Mus musculus: one gene and its partner. The protein of the gene in region 2 purifies or fractionates together with the protein of the main gene of each other region. This does not show direct contact. Links are inferred from orthologs where the notes say so. Each region holds a gene or a part of one and is shown on either strand. Other genes may lie near its edges.

Region 1 (4,336 bases), on a different chromosome or scaffold from region 2:
GGCAGGCTCCAGCTGCAGATGTAGCAGAGAATGACCTTATCTGGCGTCAATGGGAGGGGAGGCCCTTGGTCCTGTGGAAGCTCGATGCCCCAGCAAGTAAGGGGATGCTAGGGTGGTGAGGCGGGAGTGGTTTGGTGGTGGTAGGGGAGCACCCTCATAGAAGCAGGGAGGATGGAGGATGGGATAGGAGGTTTCCAGGGGGAAAATAGGGAAAAGGTTTAACATTTGAAATGTAAATACATAAAATAACCAATTTTTAAAAAAAGGAAAAAAAAAGAAAATCTAAAAAAAAAAAAAAGATAAGTCAGGGAAGCATTTCATGATAACTACTGATGCCCAAATTACTTTAAGCTGATATTTAGTGAAATGGATTTAGAAAAATAATTGATGGGCCACATTGAAGTTTGTGTAGCACGTAACTCTGTCCTCCTGCTGTGCAGTATAGGGTTTCTCATGTCTTGTTGACACTAGAGATATGAATACGTCTGTAAATCTGTAATAATTGCACTTTGCGAAATCCTGGCTCTTTCTAACTCTTCTGGTATATGTGCGTGTTACTGTGGACTGTGTACGTGTGCATACACATATGTAGGCTAGAGGTCAACAGCAGGCATCTCCCTTGATTGTGATCCATTTTCTTTTTAATTCTTATTACATTTATTGGGTGTGTGTATGTGTGTATGCAGACACATATGTAGGTCAAAGGTCAATGGTAAGCATCATCCTTGATTGATCTCATTGTATTTTTTTTAATATTAAATTTATTTGGGGTATGTGTGTATACACCTACCAAAGTGCAGGTGTGAACAGAGGACAGCTTACAGGAATGGGTTCTGTCCTCTAAGAGCAAGCTTGGGGCTCCTGTCTCCCTCCTCCAGCACTTTGTCGCTGGGTGTGGCTCTTACATGGGTGCTGACAATAATTTGTCCTGACCTAATCCCAGTCCACTTCGGGACATGGGTGGCCATTGGAGTTTGAGACGTCTCCTTCAAGGAAGATGGAGAAAGGGCTGCCTGGCTAACAATGTGATGGGGACAGTTTGAGGGAATAGCAGGCTGCCTGACAAGGGTTGTGCTTCTATGAACTCAGACGGCTGCAGGGCACAGATGGATGCTACTATTGACTGAGTGTGAATGAAGAAGCGAGTGATGGAAACGGACATCTGATGGCGGCGACCGACTTATTATTTATTTCAATCAGGTGACTGGCTGAGCACCTATATATATGGCTCTAGGTCCACCCTGGCAGTGAATGCCTGCGCGAGGTTAAAATAAATGACTGGCAGAATTGGGGTTGCACAAAACAAGCCCTTTATGACTGGCTGACGCCGCGATTGGCTAGCAATATGACTGACAAGGGGCGGGTCCTGGAGCAAAGGCAAGCTTTGCTACTGCGCAGGCGCACTCTGAATAAAGGCAGCGAGCACGGGCTCTCGAGACCACTCCTGGTGACGGGAGGAGTCCAGGCACAGCTCCGCGGTTGGTCCGAGCCGGAGCTGCGAGCGGCGAGGAGCGGCCAATCGACTGCGCGTCCCCGGCCACGCCCGCGCGCGCTCTCTTCTCGCGAGGCCGGTTAGGCCCGAATGTTGTTAGCTGTGGAGAAAGATGGCGGAAAATTTAAAAGGTGAAGCTGTGGTGCTAGAGACGCGAGCTACTGGCCCGGCCGAGTAGAATGGAGGGAAGGTGGCCGGGGCTCCAGGCCAGGCGTCCGGAGCTACGGAGCCTGGAGCTGGAAGGCCGGCGCGGCAAACGTGGGGGCCGAGAGCGCGGGCCCGGCGCGCGGGCAGGGCGGGGCTGAGGGGAGGGGGCGCGTGCTTCGGCCGCGGGGGGCGCGGGGCTGCGCAGGCCGCGCGCGGGGTTTCTCGGCCGCGCGCGGCTGGCCGGCGCGCCTACGCGCGTGAGAGAGAGTCCTGAAGGAGAAGGTTGCGGCCACGCGCGGGAAAAGGCGGCTCTCAGTGACCGTTACCCTTTCGGTTTCCACGGGAGACGCCGGAAGGGGAGGAAGAAGTGGAACGGACCCCCTTCTCAAAATGGGGGAGCCGGCGACTCTAGGTGGGAAAGGGATCGAGGCGAGATGGGGGCAGGGTTTTCGGGTAGACGAGTCTCCCCGGAAAGCGGGACTTGGTGGGGGGGCCTCGGTGAGAGGAGGGCTCGGCTCCTCCATGTGCAGGAAAAGAGGGGTGACTTGTGCGTGCTGGGCGGGCTCCTCGGCCTCGAGTAGAGCGCTGAGAAGAGATTCCACAAGTGTGAGCCGGAGCTGCGGTGGGGAGGAGTGCGGCTGCTGGCACTGCAAATGGTATTTGCAGGCCACTTCTTGGGGCTTTCAAAGGCGTTCCAGACGCAGGTTAGAGGCTCCGGGAACCGAGAGGCCTCGGAGGAGAGGGATTAGTCTCTGCTGGGCCTTGGATAAAAAAGGATCAGTGTATATGTACGCAGTGATCTTTTTTTCTTTTGAAGTGTTTGTGTGTTCTTAGGTTACCATCTAGAGCATCTTATTAGGATTGTTTTAGATTTGAGTCGTATGATGGGAGGAGAAAAAAACCATCCTTAAAAGATGGCATTGGCTACTGACAGCATACACCTAGCATCAAGTGGTTTTGTGACATATTTTGATTTTTTAAAAATGGCTTCTAAAATTACGTTGAAGAAGGGATGTGCTCTGAAGCAAAAAAATGTGTATACTTTAAATCCGCTTCTCTTGAACAATAATTTTGGTGACCAAGAGTCATTGTCGGGGCTTACCTACCACATGTATTGTTTACATGTTCCTGAATTGAGAGCAGATCCCTTCGAATTGAGTTGTACTTTTCACCCCCGAGACAGGGATTTTTTTTTTCCTTGAGACAGACTACGGCTGTCCTAGAACTCAGAGATCAGCTTGTCTCTGCCTTTCCTGGGTCTAAAGGTATGCACCACTATGCCCAGTTTAATGTAATATCTTTCTACAATCTTTATAATTACAAAACCTAAAGTCCTTTGAAATAAAAGTCTTTCTTAAATGTGTCACTAATCATGGCAAGGGATTTTTAAAAGTGAAATTATTCAGTGAGAATATTTAATGTGAAAAATCAAGGCTTTTGCTATAGATGTGTTTGCTGTTAATGTGTTTTGAGTATAGATGGCTTAATGTCCTATGCCAGGAATTCGCCTAAAATTACTTGTGTAAAATTCCCAAATGTTTGAATTCCAAAATCCAGTGGCCCAGGAGTTTCAGATAAGTGAAGACTTTATAGCAACACCTCTGTTTGTTGCCCTAGGGATTTTTGTCCTACCCTGACTCTCTTAGTTAACGCACCCCAGTCTTTTGCAAAGTGCAAAGAGCATTGCTTAAGGCTCTGACCGAAGGTAAGTCTGCAGGCAGCTTAAGGCCTTGGATGTTCTGCCAGTGGATCCCTTTATGGACGGGCCCATTGCTACAAGCGCCACTTCATCCTTGCCATTCCAGAGTTAGGGGGCCAGAGTTTGGAGTAGAAGATTCTCCCAGATGAGGGCATAGGTCCTCTGATAGGAGAACTGGACCCTTCCATGTGCAGGGAAAGACAGGTTGATGCTTCCTGGTGTGTAGGCTTATTTCCAGGTGTTGCCCTGAGAATTGAGCATTAGGGTTCAAGGAATTGGCACTTCCTGTTGCAGAGGATCTTAGCTTTGGGTAAGGCCCGTCGATTACATTTTTGTGAGTCTTTGGCCTTCTCATTCTAGGTTGCAGTGTGTGCTGTAAATCTTCTTGGAATCAACTGCAGGACCTGTGCCGACTAGCCAAGCTTTCTTGTCCTGCCCTTGGTGTTTCTAAGAAGAATCTGTATGACTTTGAAGTTGAATACCTGTGTGATTATAAGAAGATCCGTGTAAGTCTGGTGTGAGTGTGTGTGTAGAGAGAGAGAGAGAGAGAGAGAGAGAGAAAGACAGATACTACACTGGCAGGGGACCCTCTTCTCCACCAACCCCACATCTGTTTGCAAAGAGGATTTTTCTCCTCTGATTCTTCCTGGGGGGAAATAGAATGAATTGACCCTCTTATTTCCATTTTACAGGGAGGGAAATAAAGTGGCTTTCTCAGAGAACAAGAGGCAGAATGAATCCTCCAATGCATGTTTGTTTCCACCTAGAAATACAAAACTAGTTACCAAGTTGATACTTTGTGCCTAAGAGTGGAAGTAAAAGATGGCAACAGGTAGAGTGCCCAACCATAAACAGTTACTGATGCCACAGAAGTAGTAGCAGGATAGTTAGAGGAGCCCACTGAAAGTAGCATGCTTAGTTTAAATGTAGCCTTCATTTTCTGTCTATAAAATGGGAGGGGCTGGCCGAGTATGGTGGCCCAAGCCTTTAATCTCAGC
Region 2 (3,644 bases):
ACATAATAGCTGTGAACTCACGACATTTTACTCATACTGTATTTTAGATCTACTATTTTACTTACTGAAGTGAGCAATAAGAGGTCCATTTCAGAGTGAAAATTCTGGAGGCTGCAAGGCTAAGCTGTACCCTGGGCCTGGCACTAACACTAGGCTTTGGGGTTTTTCATGACACTTTGCCTCTTAAAAAAATGAAAGGTCTGGAGCCATAAAACTGAAGTCAGCAGGCATGGGCTGAGGAAGGTCAGAGGTGATGAAGATGGCATAGTGGGTATTCTATCAGTGCTGAAACATGACCACTGGTAGCACAAGAACATTTTACATTGTCTTCGTTTTCCCCCAGATATGGTCTTGTTACATAGACTCAAGCTAGCCTCAAACCTGTGATGCTCCTGCCTCAGCCTCGGGAATGTGAAGATTGGCCCATGTTATCGTGCTCTTGTACTGGGCTCTTCTGTTTCTCTTGTTGAAATGGAGACAGTCTTTAGCACACTAGCAAACTTTAGAAGAAGACACTGACAAGGACTTTCGGTTCTGGCACTGACTAAACTAGAGGCTATTTATCAGTATTACTGACTGAAAGAGTAATGCCAAGTTTCTTCATTAAGAAGCACTAGGCACACTATGAAAATGATCCGATCCTACATAAATTCAATTAAAAAGTCCACATGTTCCACAAAGTCTTGAGACTATTCAGAATTTGAATTTCAGAGTAAATTGAAAAGTCCTATTCTCTGTAAAAGGCATAATAAATATGATGGTTAAAGAAAATTAAAATTCAAAAACCAAATCGTTTTTTTTGTGGTAATTGTTACAATATATTGTGTAAAACACATTCTATGAAACGTATATGATTTACCTATAGAATGCTTACACATACTAAAGGAAACTAAGTAATGATGGGATTAAATAGATTTATTTTAAGCAACTTACTCATTAAATAGAAAGCCATTTTGTGATTACTATTTCACATACTTGGGGTTCTAAGAGATCTATTTAGAAAGAGAATGCATTTAGTACACACATCAATATATACCATTGGGTTAACAAAGAGAAGACAGGCCGTTCTAGGTCTTGTGTCATTCTAAATAAGCAACCCATTTACACGCCCACGCATATCAGTGCTAATCCTTCAGGAGCCTTGCTTTAAAGATGACTTTCTCATATTTTCCACTTCCTGACAATGTTTGAAAATAAGTGTATTGTCGAAATAAAAAAAATCCTGTGGGTCTATTCCAAAACCTCAATTTCAGAGACATCCAAAAATAAGTCCAAATTAATCTGTCAATTTCCGAATTTAAGAATATGAGTTCATTTGATTAAACCTCATAATCACAAGGAGGAGGGGTGGAGATCTGGGAGATCATAGGGGATCTGGGATGACATAGCATACAACCCGCACTTCACACATCTGTCTCATCCACTGTCTCTTCCCATCATCCTTACCTATAAATGGGGTCCATGAAGAAGGGAGTGGGTCTGGCATGCTGCAAGGAGCCATCTGAAGATGGCCTAGTATCCATGTTGCTTCCTTTCTTTTCCCCAAACACATGGTTTTTTCGAGGCTCAGTCAACTTTGTCCCACTGGCTCTACCCCTACTGCCCATACTTAGATCCAGGGGCTGGTCTTGGCTTGTGGCTGGTGTTCCTGAAGGCTTCGAGGGGCCTGAAGTCAAGGGCTTCTCATCCTTTCTCTTAGTGGTGAGGTCAAAAGGGGACTCAGAGCTTCCCTTCTGCAGTTTCTTAACTTCACTTGGTGATTGGGGCTCCATTTTCAAAGGTAACGACCTCAAGTCTCTATCAGGAAATGGGTACATTGATTGAGAGAATGCTGGAAAAAACGGGAGGGGAAACATGGAAGGGTAAGGTAACGCTCCAACTTTTTTGTCTTGCAGCCCCACCAGTCCTGTAGAACCAAAGTATTTTTCAGCAATAGACGCAATAGCCTTTATAGAATCATTCACAGCTCCTGACACGGCACTTTGCTCCTCTACAGATGCTGAGAAAACGGAATGATTGTTGTGTTCTTTCTTATTAGTTATCGAAGCCAGATTCTGCAGAGGGCTTACTTTGTCTTTGAACATTTTACCATTTTCTTTACATTTCTCTTTATCACTTTCAAGGTCACTTTCCAGATCAGAGCCCGAGGTTGTTTCCAGGTCACTGCCACTTGGTGTACTGACATCATCAAGGTCACTACTCTCTGACTGGTCACTGATTTTCTCAAGGGGCCTCTCTTCAGAGGACCTCTCGGGCAGCAGTTCCACTGGCTTATTGTCCCCTACAGGTGGGTGTTTAGATAGTGCCTTCAAAATATCCTGTGTAGCTGGCAGTATCTGAGGATGTGTCAAGAGGGGACTTTGACATTTGTTTGACTGTTCGGTACTTGATAATCCTTTAACAGGAGGACTAGCGGGTATCAAAGGAGGCCTGTGGTATAAGCCCGAAGGAAACAGACCAGGAAAGCTAAAGGAAAATCCAGGAGCTGTTGGAAAGGTAAGACCAGCAGGATGCCTATTGGTGCCAAAATAGTCAGCCAGGCCCGGGTTGGCATGACTCATATTAACCATGGACGTTTTATCCATAGCTGGGGTTCCAGGAAGTGAAATGCCTTGGCCAAAAAATCCACCTGCCGCAAAATGGTTCTTGCCCTCACAAAACCTCCTGTGTTTATTTAAGGAAGACGTAGTGCTGAACATTTGTCCACAGTCTTTGCACTTGATTTGGGTTCTGCAATCAGCATGCATGCGCTTATGACGACAAAGGTTTGAAAACTGAGTATAGGATTTATGGCAGACCTCACCTGTGTGCAAACAACAAAAAAGAGTCTCAGGCTTTATGACAATTGCTTCTGGATGCAGCAAGTAGCACAAGTGGTTTACCCAGAATAGTTTCAATTAGGAAGCCAGGAATAGAAGTTGGGAGTCAGCGATCTGGATGCTCAGGACACAGAAAATGCCATTTTACTAGATTCCAAAGCAAGGCATCCAACCTGACAAATGTCTACAAAGCAGCACAAATATTTCACACAGAGAATGTAAACCTTTCCCACCCACCCACCCCCACTGCACAATATTTTTCATAATATTTGTATGTTTAAATATTGATGAAAAAGACACAGCCCAGAATGCATTGCTTCTCCCACCTGCTTCCTAACACTAGCAGACTCTGAAAAATTAAAGATATGTTTAGCACAAACACTTCAGAGCATTGAAAACATTCTGCACTGTATACACCAAGACAGGGTAAACAGCCTTCCCCATATCCACAACCTTCCCCTTTCTCCCCTCTCCCTGTGGGGAAGGGCTGGAAGCTGTTCTCCCACTATTTCATCAGCGTTATATCATGCACTCTCATCGTTCACACATCAAAGCCACACAACAATGCACATTGTGTATTGGGAGACCCTTTTAACAATCATTTTCATGATTTGAGAAAGACTGACATAATTTACAATGGCTCTATTTTAAGCCTGCGGAGGAAACTAAATTGAATGTGGCCCATCCTGGATTGCTGGTTCCCATGAACTATGAGCACGTCCTCTGACTTCCTCTCACACCGATGGCTGTGGTAACCTTCCTGCAGATGAAACCCCCATCCTTGGGAAACATGCTCACTTGCTGGTGTATCTTCCTCAGTTATCT

What was found. The genes of interacting proteins can lie anywhere in the genome.
Region 1: the proteins of Mecom (region 2) and Suv39h1 purify together in Homo sapiens (affinity purification with western blotting; 3 studies listed by BioGRID). This does not show direct contact. The link is inferred for Mus musculus from reciprocal best matches to the Homo sapiens genes MECOM and SUV39H1.

What each region holds. Positions count from the first base shown.
Region 1 is NC_000086.7:8,071,831-8,076,166, reverse strand, and holds the start of Suv39h1 (histone-lysine N-methyltransferase SUV39H1), read left to right. Parts: upstream 1-1,406; 5' UTR 1,407-1,604; coding exon 1,605-1,623; exon of another isoform or gene 1,624-2,029; coding exon of another isoform or gene 2,030-2,051; intron 2,052-3,698; coding exon 3,699-3,844; intron 3,845-4,336. UniProt on the Homo sapiens protein: Histone methyltransferase that specifically trimethylates 'Lys-9' of histone H3 using monomethylated H3 'Lys-9' as substrate. Also weakly methylates histone H1 (in vitro).
Region 2 is NC_000069.6:29,978,155-29,981,798, forward strand, and holds part of Mecom (histone-lysine N-methyltransferase MECOM), read right to left. Parts: intron 2,804-3,644; coding exon 1,447-2,803; coding exon of another isoform or gene 1,443-1,446; intron 1-1,442.